2 linked regions of the Coturnix japonica genome follow. The protein of the gene in region 1 purifies or fractionates together with the protein of each later gene. This does not show direct contact. Links are inferred from orthologs where the notes say so. Each region holds a gene or a part of one and is shown in the gene's direction. Other genes may lie near its edges.

What was found.
Region 2: the proteins of PPP2R5E (region 1) and PPP2CA purify together in Homo sapiens (affinity purification with mass spectrometry; 8 studies listed by BioGRID and IntAct, with this or other methods). This does not show direct contact. The link is inferred for Coturnix japonica from reciprocal best matches to the Homo sapiens genes PPP2R5E and PPP2CA.

The regions. Positions count from the first base shown.
Region 1 is NC_029520.1:48,476,789-48,487,155, forward strand, and holds the start of PPP2R5E (serine/threonine-protein phosphatase 2A 56 kDa regulatory subunit epsilon isoform), read left to right. Parts: upstream 1-23; 5' UTR 24-618; intron 619-3,315; exon of another isoform or gene 3,316-3,318; 5' UTR 3,319-3,322; coding exon 3,323-3,479; intron 3,480-10,367. UniProt on the Homo sapiens protein: The B regulatory subunit might modulate substrate selectivity and catalytic activity, and might also direct the localization of the catalytic enzyme to a particular subcellular compartment.
Region 2 is NC_029528.1:2,276,862-2,287,658, reverse strand, and holds the start of PPP2CA (serine/threonine-protein phosphatase 2A catalytic subunit alpha isoform), read left to right. Parts: upstream 1-3,621; 5' UTR 3,622-3,839; coding exon 3,840-3,941; intron 3,942-10,797. UniProt on the Homo sapiens protein: Catalytic subunit of protein phosphatase 2A (PP2A), a serine/threonine phosphatase involved in the regulation of a wide variety of enzymes, signal transduction pathways, and cellular events.

The DNA.
Region 1 (10,367 bases):
GGGAGCGGAGGGGCGGGCAGCGGGCGGGGGGCGGTGGCAGCACGCTCGGTTGTGAGTGAGCGAGGGAGGGAGTGTATGTGTGTGTGTGTGAGTGCGTGTGTGCGAGCGAGTGCCATGGCCGGAGCCCGCTGAGAGTGACAATAGGAGCGAGCCGGAGCGCGACCCCGACACCCACCGGGATCCCGTCTCTCACCTGAGGCAGCCTCGAGCAGAAGAGCCCTTCCCTCCCTTCTCGGCGCCGCCCGCACCGCGCCCGCCGCTCCCCCTCGCCTCGACTCGGCTCGGCTCCCCCCCGCTTCCCCCCCCTCCGCCCCCCCCCTCCTCCCCTCCGCCGCCTCCTCAGGGCCCCTCCGCAGGGCTCCGCCGGGAATGTGAGTGAGGCAGCGGGCATCGCAGGCAGGGGGCCGCGCCGAGTGCATGGGACTGAGCGCAGCCCGAGCAGCCGCCCGCTCCTGAAGCCGCCGCCAACGCCGCCCTGCGCCGGGGAGGCCGCCAACGCCGCCGAGGCCTACAGGCTGCTGCGTACCGCGCTCCAGGCATCGGCCGCGCTCCGCCGAGCCCGGCTCAGGCCGTCGCCGCCTCCCCCCCGTCTTCGGCTTCTCAACCAGGAGGGTCAAGGTAACTCCATCGCGGCTCGAGGAGGAGGAGGAGGAGGCCCCGGGGTGGAGGGGAAGGGGGGGGGGCGGTGAGAGTGCTGCGGGAGGACATGTTCCAGCTGCGGGGCTCCCGCCGGATAATGACAGCCGATGGCAGCGGGCGGGAGGCGGCGGATGGCGGCGTGGCGGCCCAGGGCCCTCCCGGTTCGCTCCGTCGCTATTTTCACGTCCCCCCGCCTCGCCGCCCTCCCCACCCCCCCCTCAATGTGGGGTGCGTGGCTTCGCCTTCCTCCCTGTGCTCCATTCTGCGAGAATACGACCCTTCATTGGGAGAAACAGCTTTTAAGCTCCTCAGCTTTCCTACACCCAATAATCTATTATTATTATTATTATTATTATTATTATTATTATTATTATTTATTTTCCTCCCCCCCACCCGGTTGGAATCGTGTGTTTCGCCCTTACAGCGCGTTCAGGCTCATTCGAAAGGATGAAAAAAAAAAAAATAAAAATAAATAGGGATCGGTGTTTACCACGGGGTTGTCAGGCTGGATGCAGCCTTGTGGAATTAGAACGAGGCTTTAATAATTTATAACGCAGGTGAGGGGAAAATGTTACTAAATTTACAGCTGGAGGAGAGGTGCCGGTGAGATCCTGCAGCTGGGCCATCCGCTGTGCTGGCTGCCCGTTGTTATTAGCGTTGTTATTATTTTGGTGATTTCATCTTGAGGGAGAGTGCAGAGATGGTTACACTTCAGCCGCACACGTGACGGGCAGAGGAATCTTTTTTGGATGAGATGAAACAAGGCCAACGGATCCGGCTTTTAGCTGTGTATTTCTGCTGCTATTTCCCCTAATTTGGGTTTATGTAACAGGTAACTTTGCGCTTATATATATTTTTGGCGGAGCTTTGGAACCTTAGAAGCGGGTGCTGGAGCGCAGGCCGTTCTATTTCAGTTTTTCAGACTTTTTTATGTATTAATCTCAGCTGGGGCCTGGATGCTCCACTGATGGGGGCATTTCTTTCCCCCTGGATAGCAAATAAACCCGGTGTAAAGGGATTGTATCACGTTGCCGACAGCGTCTTATATTTAGGAAGTATAAGCTGGTGGTGGAGGGGACCTCAGGAAAAATAGAAGAGATGGTGTAATGCTTTCTTCTGACGGTAATGCCAGCTGCACAGCTCAGCATCTGGTGCTGCACATGCCGCCTTGGAGAAGCTGTGGGGTTTGTACTTCCATTTCTGAGAGGTTTAGTGAGCATATATATATATAATTTCGCATTGAACGGTTCTTTTCTTCCTGCACTTGTTTACAGTTGCCTTAAATTGTACTTTCTAAAGCTCCTCTTGTAAAAGGCAGATCTAAATAATGTCTCTTTCAATGGCTTCAATAATTTATGCAGCGTATGAGTAACCAAATATTTTAATAAAATAAGCACTTGAAAGTGTTCTCCATGGTGGGGAATCAACTTCTTTTAGCCGGCGAGTCACTTCGGTAATTGAAGTCAACAGACATTGAGGATGAGTAATGCTTTCCAAGGACATGTTCTAAGACCCTGATCCTGCAAGTGCTTATGCCGATACTTAACTTTGCACGAGTGTGTGGCCCTATTGAAACTGGCGGAGTGCTCTGCCTAATAATGGTCTTACTGACATGAATAATAGAGGTGCGCATGCTGGTGAAGTTCACTGTATGCAGCGCTGCTTGAAATATGGAGGCCGAAATTCCTCCTGTCTTGTTTTCCTGAAGTATTACTCATGTATTGCACCAAGATGTGATGTGCCTTTTTAACAGGCAACACAGGCTGCTAAATACAAGAGCTGGTTGCAGGAATCCACTCTTTAAATCTTCCTTTTAATATTTTTCAATAGTATGGAATTAGCTACAGCAGCATTACCAGGGCATGTGTTATAGGAAGAGGCAATGCTTATTTCTCAGACCAGCTGATAGAGTTGGGAAACAAACAAACTTTGGCTTGCAGAAACCTTGTTTGGCTCTTTGCCTCTCTGCAAACCTCGTCTGGCTTGTGCCCTTAGAACTATTATGGCTGCCATCCTGCTCTTATTGCTAAAATACCAGAACATGGAATAACTGTGTGTTGAGAGACTCCATACAAAAACAGAATGTCTGAAATGGAGAGTAAAGGAGCAGTATGTGAAATTTCATCAGTTCTAGTGAAATAGTGAAGCACGGCAGTACTTTTAGTGGTACTTTTTAATATTGCTATTAGGTCTTGTATGTAGGTATGGTAAATATACTGATCTTTTTCTTCTGTCCCATGCACTTTGATGACTCTCTAGTGAAAAAGATGTTCATGCCTTCTTGAGTACCCATCATTTAGCTTGTATAATGCCTTCCAGCATGAGTTCAAGTTACTTTTCTCATGTAACACGTAGTCAAGGCTTCAGCCCTTAGTCAAGTCCACAGGTATATGAAGTTCTGCTGACATAATGGTGTCATCATTAGGTCAGAATTTTTCCTGTTGTAGGGTTTTTGGTAAATGTGGGGCAGATAAAACAAGGGAGAGAGAAGAAATTGCACTATTTATTCTATAAGACCTGCATGTGTATTGGTGGGTTATCTCTCCGAATGCTCTATCTGGGTGAGCTGTCAGAAGGAGAACAGTGAAGACAGATCAAGGGGGTTGGAAAATATCAGTTAATCTTTACCCATTTCACCAGTTTTGGAATGTATTTGTAACACTTGTTTTCCTTCAGTAGGGATATGTCCTCAGCACCAACAACTCCTCCATCAGTGGATAAAGTAGACGGATTTTCTCGGAAGTCCGTCAGAAAAGCCAGACAGAAGAGGTCACAAAGCTCCTCCCAGTTTAGGTCTCAGGGCAAGCCTATCGAGTTAACTCCCCTGCCTCTGCTGAAAGGTAAGCTCAGGAATGATTTTTAATTAAAAATACCTAAATACCGTAAGTCAAAACAGTTTTACTCTCCGGTTGACTTCTAAACTCAAAGTGTTCTGTTGCCAGAGGTTGCATGGAGATTTTGCCAGTAATGAGGAATGTTTCATGCCAGAAATGTATGTATTTGAGCTCTACAGAATATTTTATCTGTGACATGAGGGTGTGGTAATTGTTTGCAATACTTCTGGAAGTTTTAAATGCTGATGTTAACCCATATGATGACTTGAATTTTCAAGGCACTCAGGCTGTGTGTGAGGATTTTAGATTGTGAATACTCAGCAGATACATGAACTGAGCAGTAGGTATGGTGAGGCCAAGCTGCCTTGTGAGCATGGGGAAACCTGCACGCAGCCCCTGGCTTCTGTGGGGTTTTGGAATTGAAGGGTGCCATGCATTGCAGCATCTCGAGAGGAAAGATCAGGTCTTAGGCAAGACATTACTGTGAGGACAGCCTGCATATCCCTGCTCCAGTTGAGTTGCTGCGGGAAAATTTAACTTCTAATTTGGGAAAGGAAATGATGATCCAGCTTACAGCTCTTAAAAGGCTGACAGTATCTCTCTAATATCTCGAATGCTTGCTCTAAATCCTGTTTGGCACTGAATTTCAGTACAAATCCAGGGGCCAGCAGCTTCTCTCAGAATTACGTTTGGTGTGGCAGAAGGAATCACCTTCTAGAAGTGTTTCCTTTCACTGAGTTCTTACTGAGTTTTGGGGGTTTTTTTCATCGCCATTCTTCTTTTCTGTTACAACGAATGGAGCTAAGCACAATTTGTGCTGATTATTCTGGAAAATAGAAAGATGAATAGGTTTAATATTAGGCCTGTTCATTTTTGCTTTGTGGGCATGTAGATTTCCCAGATCTCTTCCTCTACTCGTTTGATAAATCTGGTAATCAGTACTGAAATATGTAATGAATGTGTAATTGCACTTTGCTTTGGTTCGTAACCTCACTTCTTCATAAAAAACAGACAAGTTGCAAAAAGAAAAAAGAAAATAATCACACAGCTTACATGTATCTCTTAAATTAAATTAAACTTGGATTGTAGGATTTGTTCTGCTGGAGTTGTCATTAAAATAGTTGAGACTTCTTTCTATGGAATGCATGTGAGTATGTACAAATAAACGTACTTGCTCAAAAGAAAGGTCCAAAGGACCATCTAACCCTGCTGTATTAAGCTGGCAAGGGCTGATTTGGAAGCATAGAGGAGACTGGAAGAGCAAGATGGGCCTGGAGTGCTTCCACTACTCACCATTTTTCAGTGTGTGTGTCAGTGGATTTGGTGTTCTGGTTTGTAGTGAATTTTCTTCTATGAACTTTTCTAGTTGTTTAGTGAAAGTAAGATGAAGAAGCAAATGCTCCTTTAAAGTCATTTAAAATCCCATTTGTCTATTTTTGCAGTTCATTTTTGAGATGCAGATCATTTCCCTTAAAAATACAACTTGTTACATTTCGGTAAATAGAGTTTGTCCTTTGGCTTAAGTGGCTTCATTACCAAAGAACACTTAGGTTTGTATTTGAATAAATGTTTAAATGATTCGGTTATATTGCATAGTCCTGTTCAGGGAACATGGTAGGTGTGTGCACAGACAGAAGAAAAATGTTGGCTTTGCCTGAGGACGTGGTCTTGCAGAAACACAGGTGTTTATTTTGACTGCTGTAGCTAGTCCTGTGGATTGAGATATAAAGCTATAATAAGATAAAACAGATGGGGCACAGAGAGCGTTGCTGAGATATTTATGATTAGTGTCATAATGAGTTACAGTGGTCCAGCTTCAAATTAAGAATCTGATCCTGCGAGTTGGTCTTCCCCCTTTGACTTAATGCGGATTCCCGTAGGCACAGGGCTGTGTACAGATCATTTTGCAGGATTTGGGCCTAATGATGCATCTGAAACAGCAGCGGTATTGATCGCTACTGAAGGGACACCAACAGTTAAAAATTGTGCTGCTATTTAGAATTATTCTTGATCTACTTTGATGATTGTAACAATTAGGATTATTTAACCTGAAAGAAGTGATATTTCATCTGCATTTTTCATGCTTTTCCTGGGCAGTTGTCTGAAAGTCCTAATCTTTAAACTTTTAGGCTTTCACTTACCCTCCAACAAGCAACTAGTCCTATTACTTTATACAGTAACCACGTGATTTCCTATTTTATTCTTATTATATGAATAACGAGATCAGTTTGGAGATCTCCAGTTGCTAAGTGTACTTCTTGTTTTGGGTAAGTTTCAAGTTTCATTAAACCTGTTTAAAAATATTTCAGGACAGGAAATTTTTAGAGGACAGACCTTGAATTTGACCTTAAACATTTTATATTTGTGATGGAAGAGTTTTGCAGACAAAACCACACATGCCATGCTCTTCTCTTCCACTCCCCTCTCCTGCTCCCCTCGAACTACATCTCATGTTGATAGTTGCAGCCTATATTTTCTCCCAGAGGAGCAGCTGTGTGGACTTCAGCACCTTCTTTCATTACAAGAATAAAGTATGCAGCAAACTAGATAAATGCTTTGTCCATTCTTTGCAAGTTTTTGTAGTGTGCCTGTCAGCATAATGATTTGAGCACCTTCCAGTTGTGTATTAAGTGACGTGACTACGCATCTGTCACATCTTATCTGCTCTCATTCCTTTCCCCAGGGGCAGAGTCACATACAGCGAAATGGCTTGTTTTGGTAGTGTTTTAATGCAGTCTGTTCCTTTCTGTGGACATACATGCCTGTATTGCAAGAACAGATAAGTCGGGACTGTAGTTTATTTGATAATAATGTTTCAGGAAACAGAAATAGGAGACAGAATGTGTTTCAGTGTTATGTACAAGGCTGAATGATAACTTGCCATTTAGGAAATGCAGTGAGAGGAACTGGAGTTTTCATTGGAGCTTATGCTACTTATAGGGGAATGAGGTTGTTACTGTGTGCTTTATTTTTAATTAACGTATGTGTGTGTATTGTTTAGCTCTTTGTGAACAAACATTTAATGTATTTATGAGATGCAGGAGCCTTCTGAGGCCCTATTGGGCTGAATTAAAACTCTCCAATGCCCCAAGCCAAAAAAAACCACTCCTCATGCAGTGAAGACTTTTGTGTCCTCTGTTCTTCTGCGGTCTGATTTTCTGATAATTTAATTGTTGTTATTTACTGTGCTTTGTCTAAATGGGAGGGTTAGGTTGGATATTAGGAGCAAGTTTTTCATACTGAGGGTGGTGACACACTGGAACAGGTTGCCCAAGGAGGCTGTGGATGCCCCATCCCTGCAGGATTCAAGGCCAGGCTGGATGTGGCTCTGGGCAGCCTGGGCTGCTGGTTGGTGACCCTGCACACAGCAGGGGGTTGGAACTGTGTGATCATTGTGGTCCTTTTCAACCCAAGCCATTCTATGATTCTGTGATAATTTGGAGTTGTTCAATAATGTGACTAATGTTGAATCTCATGTTTCAAAAGCAGTCTGTCCTCCTTTGTTTCAAGCAGGATGGTACAAGAATTGCAAAGAGAAGCTATGGTACAGTTGGCCTGCGTTTTCAATATATGTACTTGTAAAAAGGTTTAAATCTCACATGCACTTTAGTACTTGCATGTTCTTTTCTGGTATGTCCTGCCCTGTGTTACAAAACTTTCCATTTTGCCTTAACTTTTAGGGAGGCTCTTGGTATCGGTAGGGTTGGCAGGTCCCTGAGGTAGCTGGTTTGTGGCAGCCCTGGTGAAGAGCCCTTATCTTGGGATGACAACATTCACCTCTGTGCCTTAGGCACATCCATGCAGAGTTTATTAACCAAGTCTGTGGCATGCCTCAAAGCATGTCTCTGTGTCAAAAGGTTGTATTGTATATTGTATGTGCATTGGAAAGGGGTGGTACTTACCGAGGCTTCTTTTACTTTCATTTTCAGTAGATACTCTTAACTTACAAGTCTTTGGAGGAAGATCAGTAGGGATACAACGCTGGTAGGAAAAAATAAATCCTGTATTGTAATACTGAGCACATGCAAACAGACCAATTTCATTATTAGCTCTAAAAACAGAGAGTCCATTTCTGTTTCTGGCATTATCTGTCATGTTAGGGGACTGCCCAGAGCATGAAGACATGCATGCAGGTGACTGCGAAGATCATATAGATTACATATATATACATATATACATACATACATATAACATATATATACACACACACATATATATACATATATATGTTGAACAGAATCGGGCAGAAAACTAGCATGTGATTCACAATATTCTTCACATCCTCCTAATCCTCATTAAAAATGCATAATAAGGTAAAGCAAACCGTACAAAAGAAAGACTGTTAAATATTAAAGCAATAGGTCCCATTTTTATCATTTCAAGGGGCTCCTCTTGTTTCCTGTCATTCCCCCACATTTTCCAGTATTCTAATGCTGTGTAGTGACTTTCAGGTTTATTTTTATTGCAAACAGGCCTCAGCTCAAACTATAATTTTTTATTTTAGGCAATTTTTCTCTCTTAAAAGAGTCGCTCAGAAGAGAAGTTCTCTGTCAACAATACCAATTGCTTCGCTACCTCAATATTATGAAATTTATTGAGCTTCTTATACATTTATCAGATAGTTTCCATGGCATTAAAGAATTGCTGTAGTGGCAACAAAAGAGAGCTGCATAGTCAGTTAGGGAAAATCTTTCACTTGCTGTTTGCTTTTGATCATTATTATATTATTTCCCTATAGGTGTGATTTTATTATAGGCTTTTCTTATGAATCCTATCTGTAGGCCCAGTGCTGAACTTCCTAAATAGTCAGAGATCCTTCCAACTCTAGAAGACTTTTGGTTAAGTGAGAACTGCAAGATGTGTACCCTCCTTCTCAAATAGATTTGATAAAGAAATCCTCTTTATCAGGCATTAAAAATATTTAAGTCTAAAGAAATGGCCATATGGAAAATGGTAGTTACTGTCTGAGTTGTAGAGGAGGAAAGCTTCTATTTTCTGTTGATTTGCATGAGAGTTGGCTGCTCATCGTTTCTATACCAGTCTCCCTTTATGAAATTTGGAATGCTTTACAAATATCAATTAACTATTAATAAAATATCTAAAGTTAATACTTTATCCTAATTTACAAACAAGAATAGAGGATCATAATGGCTGTGACTTGCAAAATCAAATTTTGCTCCATTTCCATAAGCGGAAATAAATCCTCATTTATTGTCTGAAAGAGACGTTGGCACATGGTCTGCTCTGCACATAATGGTGAATCAAACATCAGTCCTGGAGCTTCTGAACAGAATTTTGCACTTGTTCTGACTGAAATAAGTTCAGACACAGCAGGCTCTACTCCCTGTAAGGTTTGGGAAAGGGGCCACAGTTCCAAAAGGAAGTAGGATTTATCCCTACTTTCGGCCTTATGATATGTGGAGTTCCTGTCATACACAGTTAAACTCTTCACCTTTTCTTGTGCTCTTGGCAGTTGTTTTTTGGTTATGTATTTAATGTCCTCTTCAGTGTTGTAAACATCTGGTGGTTGTAGCGTAGGACAGTTTCTTCCAGTGATCTTAAACGTTTCTGGTTGTTCTAAAATCTGTTTGGCAATTACATTCCGCTTTGTGGAAGTTTCTCTGCAGGCTGTTTTCTCTTGTGTCCACAATGTGTATCTGTGGAAAATGCACGGAAAATGTGTATCTGTGGAAATGTTGCCTTGCAAGTCAACGTCTCAGTAAAACAAAACAAACCTTTGTACGCTGACGGTATATCAGTGAAAGTGCAGCTGGTGAGAAATCCTGTTGGCTTAGCCTTTATATTCTAATAATCTGTGTTTCCATTCAGCTGTCTTTATTTATGTGTTCCTAGGTTTAATTAGATCGGAAGATTTTTCCTTTAGCCCATGTTTCCCTTGCCCAGACCTTCAGTAGCAGTTCTCTTCCTTCCTGAATTTCTCACTCTGCTTTGTGGAAATGTTAAGGAATGATTGTTCCCACTTTTTAATTGCCTTTAAAACCGAAGCGACTTGCAATGACTGTAGGAGATATTTTTGTACTCTTCACCAGATTGAGTCTAAAATCTTGATGATGATTTTCAGGAATGTCTGGACTTCACCATCATCAGAAGCAATTGTTTTCAGTCTGTGTTTGTACGCCATGTCTCTGTAATGCGCTTCTCAGTATTATTTATTTCTCTAATAATATTAAAGTGTTCTGTGTCCAGGTGAATCTCTATGATGAGTCTGTAATGAAACCTCCTGTTTCTATAATGAGTACCTCCTTTATATTCCTTTCTCCTAAAGTATTTTTAACAAATGCAGTTTCTGGTTTAGCCACACGATTATTTCTATGCTAGTTGGAAGTGCAGTGCTGCCTTCATTTATTACAGATAATGATATGGAGCTTTATATTTTAGATACACATTTTCTAAAGCTCTGGAGTCATGTGCATGATTTATTGCTTGTGTGTATCAAATGTGTTTAATACACATCCGTGTATACAAGCAACTTATTTATTTAATATAATTTAAAAAGTCTAAGTATTATTTCATTTGTCTGTTTTAAGATTCAGTACTTGGCTACTACTTCTGTCCATCAATGAGGTTTTATGGCATGGAGGCAGTGCCTTCATGTTCGTCTTCCTGAAAAACAAGCACTTTCATTTGCACTTTCAGGGGAGTGGGAGGACAATAAACTATTTTTAGGCTCAGGGTAACTTCCTTTCACCCACAGTTTGCTCATTCAGGCAACTGCCGTTTCTCCGGCTCAGTTGTGCGATGTTTTTTAGCTGTAACACACAGGAGGACTCACTGAGTCCATGGCAGGGTACGTCTTGCAGTTCTCACTGCCTGTGTTCACGGAATCACAGAATGACCCGGGTTGGAAGGGACCTCAAGGATCATGTAGTTCCA
Region 2 (10,797 bases), on another chromosome or scaffold:
GACTAAACACATCCTGCAGAGGCTTTAGCCGTAATTCAGTTGTCACATTGTGTGAGAGATCTCACAGAAACAAGCGGAGCAATCCTCTGCCATGATGTTGCAACTTGGGAAAAAAAAACAACACAAGCACCTCTTACAAGTCCTGCATTTTTTGGATTCCCAAAGCAAATCATTTAGAAGGCAGAGATAGTGGTTACTCCATGGTATCCCGGCACAAGAAGCAAAGATAAGACAATAAAAACCTTGATTTACATCTCCATGACAACTGATTGCATGTATTAATTATGCATTGTGTTTCTGAGTGATTAAACATAGTTTATTGAATCAAAAGGCTCAAGAAAAGGAAAGCTTTCCCAAACAAAACCCTTGTGATGTGAGTTGTGCTGATCTGAGCATGACAGGAGCACCAGAAAGCCTCGAGTCCTATGGCAGAAACTTAGCAGAGCACTTCATGGATGTTTACAGTATTGGTTTAAAAGGAAGGAATTTAAGCATGCCCCCAAGTCTCCACTGAACTTGACTCTAAATGCTTCTGTCATGTTAACTACTAGCCCCTCAGTGGGGCTGAAATCATGTCTTTGTCTGTCTGGCAACAATAGCTAAAGGTCTGTCCTGGCATGGCAGCACCTGCAAAGTGCCCTAAAGATTTTAACACCTTACAGTGATGTGCAGTGTTTTCAGAACAACTTTTCCCTGGGTCATTTGACTATGAAGTATCTGTATTTATTGATCATTGCGCTTCACAGAAGCCATTTACGGGTGGAATCAGTGCATGATAAAATCGCTGACATACTGCGTGGACTCTGGAGTGAGTCAAACAGAAAGAAGTTCCATTTGCTCATGCTGACGTACCAAATATCCGACACAAATAGCTTTCTGTCTAGCTCCCATCTTTTGCAATCATTCTGCTAAGAATCACAAAGCTTATCTAACCGAAGGGGACCAATGAGACAAAGAACACACTGTATTTTGTTGCAGGAAGAGGCTGATGTCTCAACACAAAACATGTATTTTTGGCCTAATTTGATCAGGAAAGCCCATTTGCCCCCAGAGGCAGATGACATCTACAGTGAAACATCAACTTCTGCACTCATTGCTGACAAAAAACCCACATTAATATTAACTCACACATTAACCCAAGAAGTTAACCCTGGATTATAATTCTGAGATAGCACCTTTAGATAACACAGCATAGTATTCCAGCTCTGCACTTAGCACTGAACACCATAGCAACAGACTCTTCAGATACGCACTGGCAGATAACTCGGATCTAGTAAAATATTCACATAGAGTGCATGTAGACTGTAATGGCCAATCAAAACTGTGTTCACTTTGTTGTATGATGCCTCGCAATATAAACCTGCATAGTTTAAACACTGATGTCTTATACTGTGAAGGAAACGCTGGTGTTACTGCAGTAAGTGACAAAACAGTTGCAATTGCTAACATGCATGTGAATGGATTGGAGATTCGTACTAGTCTGCACTACTGTAGATGGTTTTGTAAGGAAAACAGAACCAGCTGAACACTCCATCCATGTGATGTGTGTGAGCACAGCTTTGGCAGTAACCCTTCCTAAGAAATGCCATCAACATGAGACGCTCGGCAGTGACTCAAGAGCCAGGACTGCACATGGCAGCACGGACAACCCTTGACTCATCACAGCACCCACACCCAGGACATCTCCTTAGCTACAAACCACACACATACACACACAGCAGCCTGGCACAAATAGTCAATACTAAGTATTGTTCCTACCTTGCCATGTACCTGAGGGACTGCCAAACCCCCAGCTGATGCAATGTGGCAGGTATTCTTTCATTATTTCCCTCTCCTTTGAAGGTTCTGATAACTATCTGGGAGAGAAGCAACCACAATTCACTGAGATATTGATTATGACTCTCAAGAAGGAGGAAGAGATCTGACATCTGATCCGAACGCAGTTTATGGGCTGAGACAACACAGGGATAAAGAATAGAGCAGGTTGTTTTAGATGGAACTCCAATTGTCTCCCTTCTATGTGAGCACCTGAATAACTGGATCCAAAATACTGCTGTGCCAAGTCCTCAGTTCTCTTCTAGTCAACGGCACAGCTTCAACTGCGAGCAAGGAACGATGAATCCCCTACCTCATGATGCTGAGTTGATAGCTAAGAGCTATGACTGCCTTTTCAAACAAGGAACCTTTCCATAGCAGAGTAACCCTAACACCAGGCTCCCATTAACCTATGGCAGGTTTGGGAGCCACCACAATTGCTTTAAAGACAGCAGCAATCACTATTGCAATCCGCATGGAGCACTGCCTAGTGCACATTACACGTGTTTTCTCTGCACATATCAGATAATACGTCACAGGACTTTGGTTGCAGTTTCATAAGCAAGTTAAGATTTTCCTGCTACTGAAGCTTTAATTTAAGAAATTTAAAAAAGAAAAAATCAGAAAGAATTCAGAACCTGAGTTTCACCAGGAATTCCTCTATCTCTATGAAAACAAAAGCTAAATACGGTCTTTAACTTGGCTAGTTAAATAAGAGAGGATTATTGCCTTATGTTCTTTCCAGTTGCTTGTTCAGGATTATTTGGGAGGCAATGAAGCAGTGCCACAGAGCAGATTCTTGCCATTTTTCAACAGATAACACCTCTCCTTTTACAGCTTTAAAATACAAAACCAGAGGCATCTGAGGATGCAAAATAGAGCCCCTGAAGAAAGGCATGCCAAAAAAATGCACATCTTATAGAGAGAGCATGACATGGAGGAACCGAGACCGACTGGTTACAGCAAACATTCCTTCCCCTTTGCTCACTATTTTGTTTCTTTGCCTCAATAGCAAGCAAAGAATTTAACCCTTTCCACTCACTGCAAGGCAAACCCGGCTGGAGACAAGTGACTCCTATTAAGCAGGAAGCCTTTGGTAAGTGGCTAATTCCAAAAGGGCACATTGGGCCAAATTCTGACCCACTTTATTGATTTTGTTGTTCTTTTAACTGATATTTCACACGCTTGATAAGTTACTGTAAGGAAATGCCACACCGGCAGCCCCGTCATTTAGGATGAAGACCACTGCAATACACGTTACACACACCGCACAGCGTCACAGTGTCACAGTGCGGTGCGGGTTGGCAGGGACCTTAGAGATCACCGAGTCCAACCCCGGGATTGGAGCCTCTGTGCTGCAGAGCGGCACTGCTACCACTTGCGCCACAGGGGGATTCGAACCCAAGGCCTCCAGCGTTGCAAAGTAGCGTCCTTCAGCACTGCGCCCTCAGTGTCACACCCCGCTCCCCCACACACCCATGAAGCCGTACCCCACACACTGTACAGCGCTACCCCCTATTTCCCCACCGCTCTCCCTCAGACCCGCCCACAGCCGCGCCCTGCACGGGCGGGAAAAGCTCATGACCCGCAGCTCCTCCCGCGCATGCGCACGAAGCCCCTCACAGCGCGCAAGCCCCGCTCCCCCCAGCCAGCATGCGCCGCGCATGCGCAGCATAGAGCTCCGTCTCTCCGGTCGGGCAGGTCCCGCCCATGTCGCGCATGCGCGGTCCGTCCAGCCTACTGCGCACGCGCCGTCCCCTCCCATGGCGGCGCCGTCCCCTCCCCGCAGTGTAGTGGGGCCGTGACGTCAGCAGCGGCGGCCATTACACGGGCAGAGCGAGGGTCGGAGCGCTCTGTTCGCTGCCGTGCGTTGGGCGCCGCTCCGCCCGCAGCTCCACGACCCGCTGCTGAGCCGCGACCACCGGGATCGCGTCGTTGGGGCCTTTGGGGGGAGCGGCGGCAGCTGGTGGTGAGGGGGAGGAGGAGGCGGAGGAGGAGGGGGCGAGCGAGCGGCTGCGTGCGGGATGGAGGAGAAGGTGTTCACCAAGGAGCTGGACCAGTGGGTGGAGCAGCTCAACGAGTGCAAGCAGCTGTCCGAGGGGCAGGTGAAGAGCCTGTGCGAGAAGGTGAGGCGCGGCGTGGGGAGCGGAGCGGCGGCACGGGGCGGGGCGGCACCTCCGGGGTTGGGCACACGGGGCTGTGAGCAGGACGGATCGGAGCGGTGCCGGGCAGTGGGTCGGCTCCACACATCGGCTCGGTGGGTCGCTCTGTTGGGCTCCGCTGGGCGCTGCTCGCTCTGCCCGGCGCTGGATGAGCCGCGGCCCCTCGGCGGGCATTGCCGCGGCCTGGCCCCGCCTCCCGCCTTTTCATCGCCTCCTAAAATGGCGCCGCTGCCGGGAGCCGCCGCCACAGAGCACGAGAGCCGCCGCCGGGCCCGGCCCTGCCGCTCCGCCATCCGTGCGGTGCTGTGCGGTGACACGGGGAGGCCGTGTAGGGCAGGGAGCGTAGGGCGCGGTGCGGGGCTCCGAGCTGCTGTGAGCACGGCGGATTATTCAGTTATTCATTTACCATACAAATATAGGATCGCGGTTATTTCTAATTGAAGCGGAATTTTAGATCGACCTGGGGAGTCGGGTTTGTTTTTTGTTTTTTTTTTTTCCAGAATAAAATGGCGCTTAGTGACATAAAGCTCGTGTCGCTGTTTATTGCTACGGTGACTGATGGGGATCCGCGCAGCACAATGATGTGCTGTGTGTGTAGTGTAGGAGCGGCTTCACATCGGCAACTGTGCTCTAGGAATTAAAGGAATAATAGCTGCAGTGGTACCCGGTTGTATTGTCCGGTTACAGTCTGTTTCTGAGCGGAATTAAATCCTCAGCCATCATGAGCCATTATTTTCCCTTCAATTACTGGAGGTTTTATTTGTGTGCACCTTTAGATTGAAGGAATTGCCTTTTTTGGGGGAGGGATCTAGAAATCAATGCGTATGGAGGTTATTGATGCCCTCGGTCCTAAAGAAGGCTGCGTGCCTATCACAGGAGGAAACAGGGGTATTTTAAGGTTGGCACCATGCCTTCAAATAGTACAGCGTGTTGGTTTAGAAGCAGATTGTTTCCAGAGGGTTGTATGTGGACTTAGAATTAACTTGCAGTGCTTTTGGCCATACAGGTTCTTGTTGTGTCCCACATTTCAGTCGCCTCATATTCCAGCAACTCAAAATCAAAGCCGTTAGATATAGTTTGTGTGTTTAACGTGGTGTTCCAAGCAAGTAGCAGGTTAGGGATTGTTTCCCTTGTGTGTCTTTAGTGCCAGCACTCTGACTTTTTCCTCGTGTCCCATTTGCCATCACTGATGTGCTGATGGAAGGGCTGAATCCTGGCTGGGTATTTCTAATGTGGTTGTATGGCAATCTGTAAAAACCCGAGGAATAAATGAAATTCTTTGCATTTAGTGGATGCTGTGGATAGGTGAGCAGTAGACATGCCAATAGAAACCGCACAAAAGGCACCATAGTCCTGTTCATAATCTGTGCGAGGATGGAGGTGTCTTCATTTTTTCCTAATGAAGAATTGAATTAGTCTATTTCTGGCTGAGCGTGTAATGTTCATCACCAGAATAGATTCATGACACTAGGAAAGAAAAAGCTGTTCTAACCTGAAACGATTCTGATAGGTTCAAGGCAAGGAATCACGAGGCAGGTGGGCTCTGTAGGAGCAGCAGACTCTGTTGGAGAGGCTGGAGGAATGATAGGTGATGAGCTGCAGGAATTGTTTGGATGAAGGAGTTGAATTAGGTTACAGAAAGCTGCCTGTTCGACTGCTGCATTGAGATGAAAGGCTGCAAGGACAGGAGAGAGGCTGATGTGAGAATACCACTGAGCAGCAGGGATGGTTTGCCACAAGTTGGAGCCAGCTCCAGACCAAAGGTGGAATGTCTTTGGGCAGCATGACACTGTGCTTGAGATAAAGCTCCCTCTCTATTACTCGGTTGAGGTCAACACTTTGTGAGGTACATCCAGGCTGTTTGTATTAAGGGTGATAACTACTGGTGGATTTACCAGCCCCTGTTAGTGGTAGGTGAGATGCTGTGTCAAGCTTTCCATTGTCCTGTCCCCCCCATGGGTTGCTGTGTTCCCAAAGCAGGGCATTAGTTGAATTCTGTGCCTGTCTGCAGAGGTTCCTCATTTATCCTGTTCCCAGGCTTCCAGCACCAGCTCTCTGCAGTACTGAATTATGATTCGTGTTTTGATTATTGTCTGCAATCACACCCAAAGGTTATGATTTTCCATAGAGAGCTTAGATGTTAAGGGTGGTGTCAAACATAGTCACTGTTTCAAATGATGGGTGCAGACCCTATCTGACAGAAGCTGTCATTCCTCACTGCTCTGAGCTGTAGCTACGATAGAAAAAAGTAATCCCTCTTGTGAAGGCTTTTCCCCATAACATGCTGTTTATTAGGTGATCTTCTGACTGGTATTTCTGGATCTTCTGAGGCTTCGTGTGTGTCTAGTAAGACGAAGCCTGAGGGCTCTGTTGTGTTTCAGTATTGATAGCAGAAGAACACAACAGCTATTTGCAGACACAGTGCAGTGCAGCACAGTAACTCAGTGTGGCCATTCATGCATCGCAGTTACTCTCAGTGCATCCTGTGTTGTGCCTTATTACCTTGGTGATGGTACCTGGTAGAAATGTCTTCTAGAGCCAGGAATAATTTGTAGCCACAAATAATAGCGACTTTCACAGACCTGAAAAAAGTCTGAGTGACAATTAGAAGAATTTAATGTGAATATTTTCTATTAATTTTGCTACACCAGTGACAGGTTTTATGTGCTTTAAGTATTTCTTAACTGTTAGCTTTGAAGAGTTGTTATAAATATGTGCCTTACTCAAGTATATGGCATTTATAATATTGGCCACATTTGTCCTGCTGAGGCTGAACTGTTCGCTGTCTGCTGTCTGTGTACAGGAGAAAGGAAGTCCTTTATGGCCAGGTGAGGTTATTTTCCACTGCCCACTTAGAACAAGGCTGCTGTTCTTTCCCATCCTTTGTGGGAAATGGTCTCGATGGGGCTGTTGTGATGTGCAGCTCAGGAAAGGTGGGCTGGCGATCCGGAATGGAACACAGGGATGAGCAGAGCTGGTGGATGCAATCCCCATTGGTTATTACAGATTGTATCTCCCTCTGTGTGGAGATGTCTGGGAATGTCTTACTGGGAAGAGCTGGGCCGAGTGGGTTTGAACACAGCACCCAGTTTCCTGAGGTTTTACTGCTGACTGCATGGATGGTGCTGCCATCTAGAAATGCCTTAACTGAATGAAGTTCTTGTATCACTAAACCCTTTTCCAGAAGCCTCGATTGACACCTTGTCTCTGTAGCTTTTGATCGGTAACAAAGTTTGTGAGCTCACTTGCTATTTTGTCTGTCACCATTGCTAACTTCCCTAATATAAGTGTTCCTGGGCCCTGCTGATTTCTGGTATGTTGCTTGTCAGTGGTGGCTTTTTTCCTCCTGTTACCTGCCACCTTTAACACCAGGTCTCAGATTTTCTGGGACTAATTGCCAATGAGAACAAGCCAAACGTGTACTTGCTACAGCTGTACGGACTGTTTGAACTCCTTCAGCTTTCTCTAAGCACCGTGCTTGTAGGAGGGCAGTGTGTTACTGATACAGCTCGCTTTTGGGTCAAAAGAAAAACCTGTGGTCAAAGTTCACTTCTCATGTAGTACAAGAGGAACAAGTTTTGTGAAGCACGCTCTGTTTCAAGCTGTTACTGCCCTGACATCTCTGCCACACTTGTTCAGAGGCACTGTTCCTTTGTCTCCTTGGTACTGGCTTTGTTCAGGACATGCTGCCTGTCCCTGCGCTTCTGACAGAAGAACAAGTGTGGAATGCACAGTGTTTCATGTCCTGTTTGCTGCCACATTGGCTTATGGAGTCAGTAGAAAAGAAACTGCTGGTGGCAGGAGGGCCCTCTTCACTTGTTTCTATGGCCTATGGGAGGACAGAAGACTGGGGACTCCTTTGTTACTGCCTCTAGTGTAGCTGTTGATGCTTCAATCTCTGGAGCATTACAGGTGAGAAGGTTTTTGTGACATTTTAATAACTGCTTTAGGTTATTGAGGAATGCTTTCACAAAGAAAGAAACTCCCCGTGTTCTTACGATAGCATTAATATAAAATGGAAAGCGTTCCCTTGCACAGAACACATTGGAAGTGTCAGCCTTGCTAGCCTTGTCACCTAGTTCTGATTACAGTGCTTTGGTGATGTGTGAGAAATCTGACTGATGCACATTGCTTCTTGTAGCACCAGCAGCTTTCTCTTCAGTATTCTGTGAAATCAGTCGTGCTGGTGTTAGTACTCCTTCCTTTTAATTAGTTTTTACTCACCGCATTCGTTGTAATCAGATGGAGTGAAAGATATCCCAGCGGTGTCATTTTGGGCATAGCTTAAAATAACAGAAGTGAGCGTTTGTAAGTCAGAGCAAGTTTGTACTTGAGGTTGTACAGTGTAAGGATAACGACACAGACAAGGCTGTAGATTGATGTCCCTTTTCCAAATCTACCTCTGGTAAAGCTGCTGCCTCCCAAGATCTGATGACAGTGCTGCTCTGTGGTTGCTCCCGGGCTGTGCTCAGTTTAAGGCAACCCTGATGACTAACAGCATAATAACCTCACCTGTCTGGCTTTGGCATGAGTTACAGAGGCCTTGTGCATGGCTCTGCTGAGAGCATGGAAGGAGCAGTGATAACATTTTCCTTTGCACTTAGGGCCCCTTAAACACTACACCAGCATTCAATAACACAGTTGTTACTGTAGACTTCTTTCTTTAGGCAATACGTTAAGGTGGAAAAAGCAGGTAGTTTATCCCTGGCTAAAGAACAAATAGCAGAGCTCAAGTCATCAGTTGAGCAACTCTCGGATATTTCTGCAGGGTATATAGGAAATACCTTCCAGTGCAGGTGTTGAGTCCTTGCTCACTGGTTTTGAAGTACATCTCTTTGGTTTGACACATGTTCCTGCCCAGCCTTCCAGCTGATAGCACACTGCATTAACAGCACTGTGCCCAGCTGGGGATGGGGTTATTTGAACAAAAAGTTTGAACAATTTTTGAATTTACCACCAGCCAGATTAGCTTCATTTCTCAGACACACTAGTAAAGGAACGGCTTCAACCTACTTCTTTTTCTAATTGCTGGAGTGGTACAAAATGAATTCAGCTTGCTCCTATGGATAGGGTTGAAGATTGTCTCTGTAAGTGGTCAGCTTCGTGCATTATTACTGTTACTCTTCTACTGGGATCTCCAATATAGAGAGGAACCCATCTGGTCTTCCTGATTTATTTGACTTCTTGTACATTCCTGAAGGTTTTTTTTTTTTTCCTAGAGTGTTTAAAATTCCAAGTTTAAGGCACAAAGATACCTTGAATATTGTGAAATGATGATGACAGAATTCTTTGGGGGATGCCCCTTCCTGTCCTCATTTTCTCTCTGGTCCACTGCTGTTATTAAAATAGCACTTCCTCTTCTCCTGAATCCCTCTCCCAGGGAACCAGCATCCTTTTCAGTTACTATTCAATATCTAAGGCTGCTAATGTTTTTTGCAAATTGAATTTGAGGGGAATATCAAGACTGTAGAAAGTGTCCATCATTGTTTTGCATTACAAAGGAATAGAGAATTACTTGGCAGAAGTTTACTGCCTGCACTCATTTTTACAGACCTTCTAGAATTCACAGGAGAAATAAAGTGATTGTCTCATTCAATCTTGCATGCAGTGCTGGCGTTAGGATTGCTGTCTTGGTTGGCCAGTGTCTTGTTTATTCACTTATTCTTCAAATCAAATAGAAGTTGCTAAAAGAGTGAGGCAGCAGATGTTGCTCTGCTGTAGAGTGGCAAAGAAAGGTACTTAGCTGTGTGTTGTGAAATATTAAGCTGGTTTGTGTTAAGCTTTTTGGGTTAGGTGTCTGTGGTTTGCATACACAGTCATTGAGATAGAGGCCGCTATTTTGTACACTTGGAGTTTAAATACAACTTCTGAGTTCATTTGTTAGTTCTATTTGCCCAAGCCTGAGAAAACTAAGGGCCATAAATAAGCAGTGAGTGCATTGTGACACGTATTGCCAGGAGCTGTGCTGTGATTGAGCTGTTCCTTCACCTCATTCCAAACCTCCAGCAAGGCCTGCAGTGACTGACCTTAGCGCTGCTGGTACAGGTGCTGCTCACCAGAGCAGAGCAGATAGGATGCTCTCTGTTTCAGTCATGGGAGAGTATGGTGCTGTTGTTAGTGCTTTTATGTTGGATGGAAATTCTGTTTTTACTTGCTGTAGAATAGTAAATAATTCAATGTTAATTGAGACCTTTGAGTTTTAATTTTATTCCTGCATACGCATTCACATTGAACTCCTTAGTGGATTCTGACGTTCACAATAAAGCAGGTGTCCTTTTGTGCCGTGTGGTCTGACTGCTGCCTTAACATCTTCACAGGAGGATGCTGTCAGGGCCCTGATGTCTCTACTTTTTAAACAAAAGTCAGACTATAAAACGAAACCCCTTTTGTTCTAAAAGCAGCCCACGTTTGACCTGAACATCTCCCCTCTGCAGGTAGGGGTTGGGATCACTTGAAGGAAACAGGAATGCATTTATTTTGTGGAAGAGCTGCTGACTTTGCACGGAACTGGGATCCCTTCCAGGTGGTGATGCTGGCCGGCTAAAACCAGCCTCCATCCCAATTAGCCGATCATTGTGGCTTTAGTCACATCCTGTGCATCTTGACGACAGGAAGCTATGGGTGTGGCTGAAGTCTTCGATCTCAACAAAATATCTTTATGGTAACCACAGATGTGTGACTTTGTCTTGGTTACAGTGGCTGCCTTTCTGTACGAGCTTTATTAGACAGCACGGTGCCTTACAGCTCTGAGTTTTGGTCTTCCAAGAATGCATTACAAATTTCCACAGTGACTGCAGAGCTGTGCTGTCTCGTTAAAGTG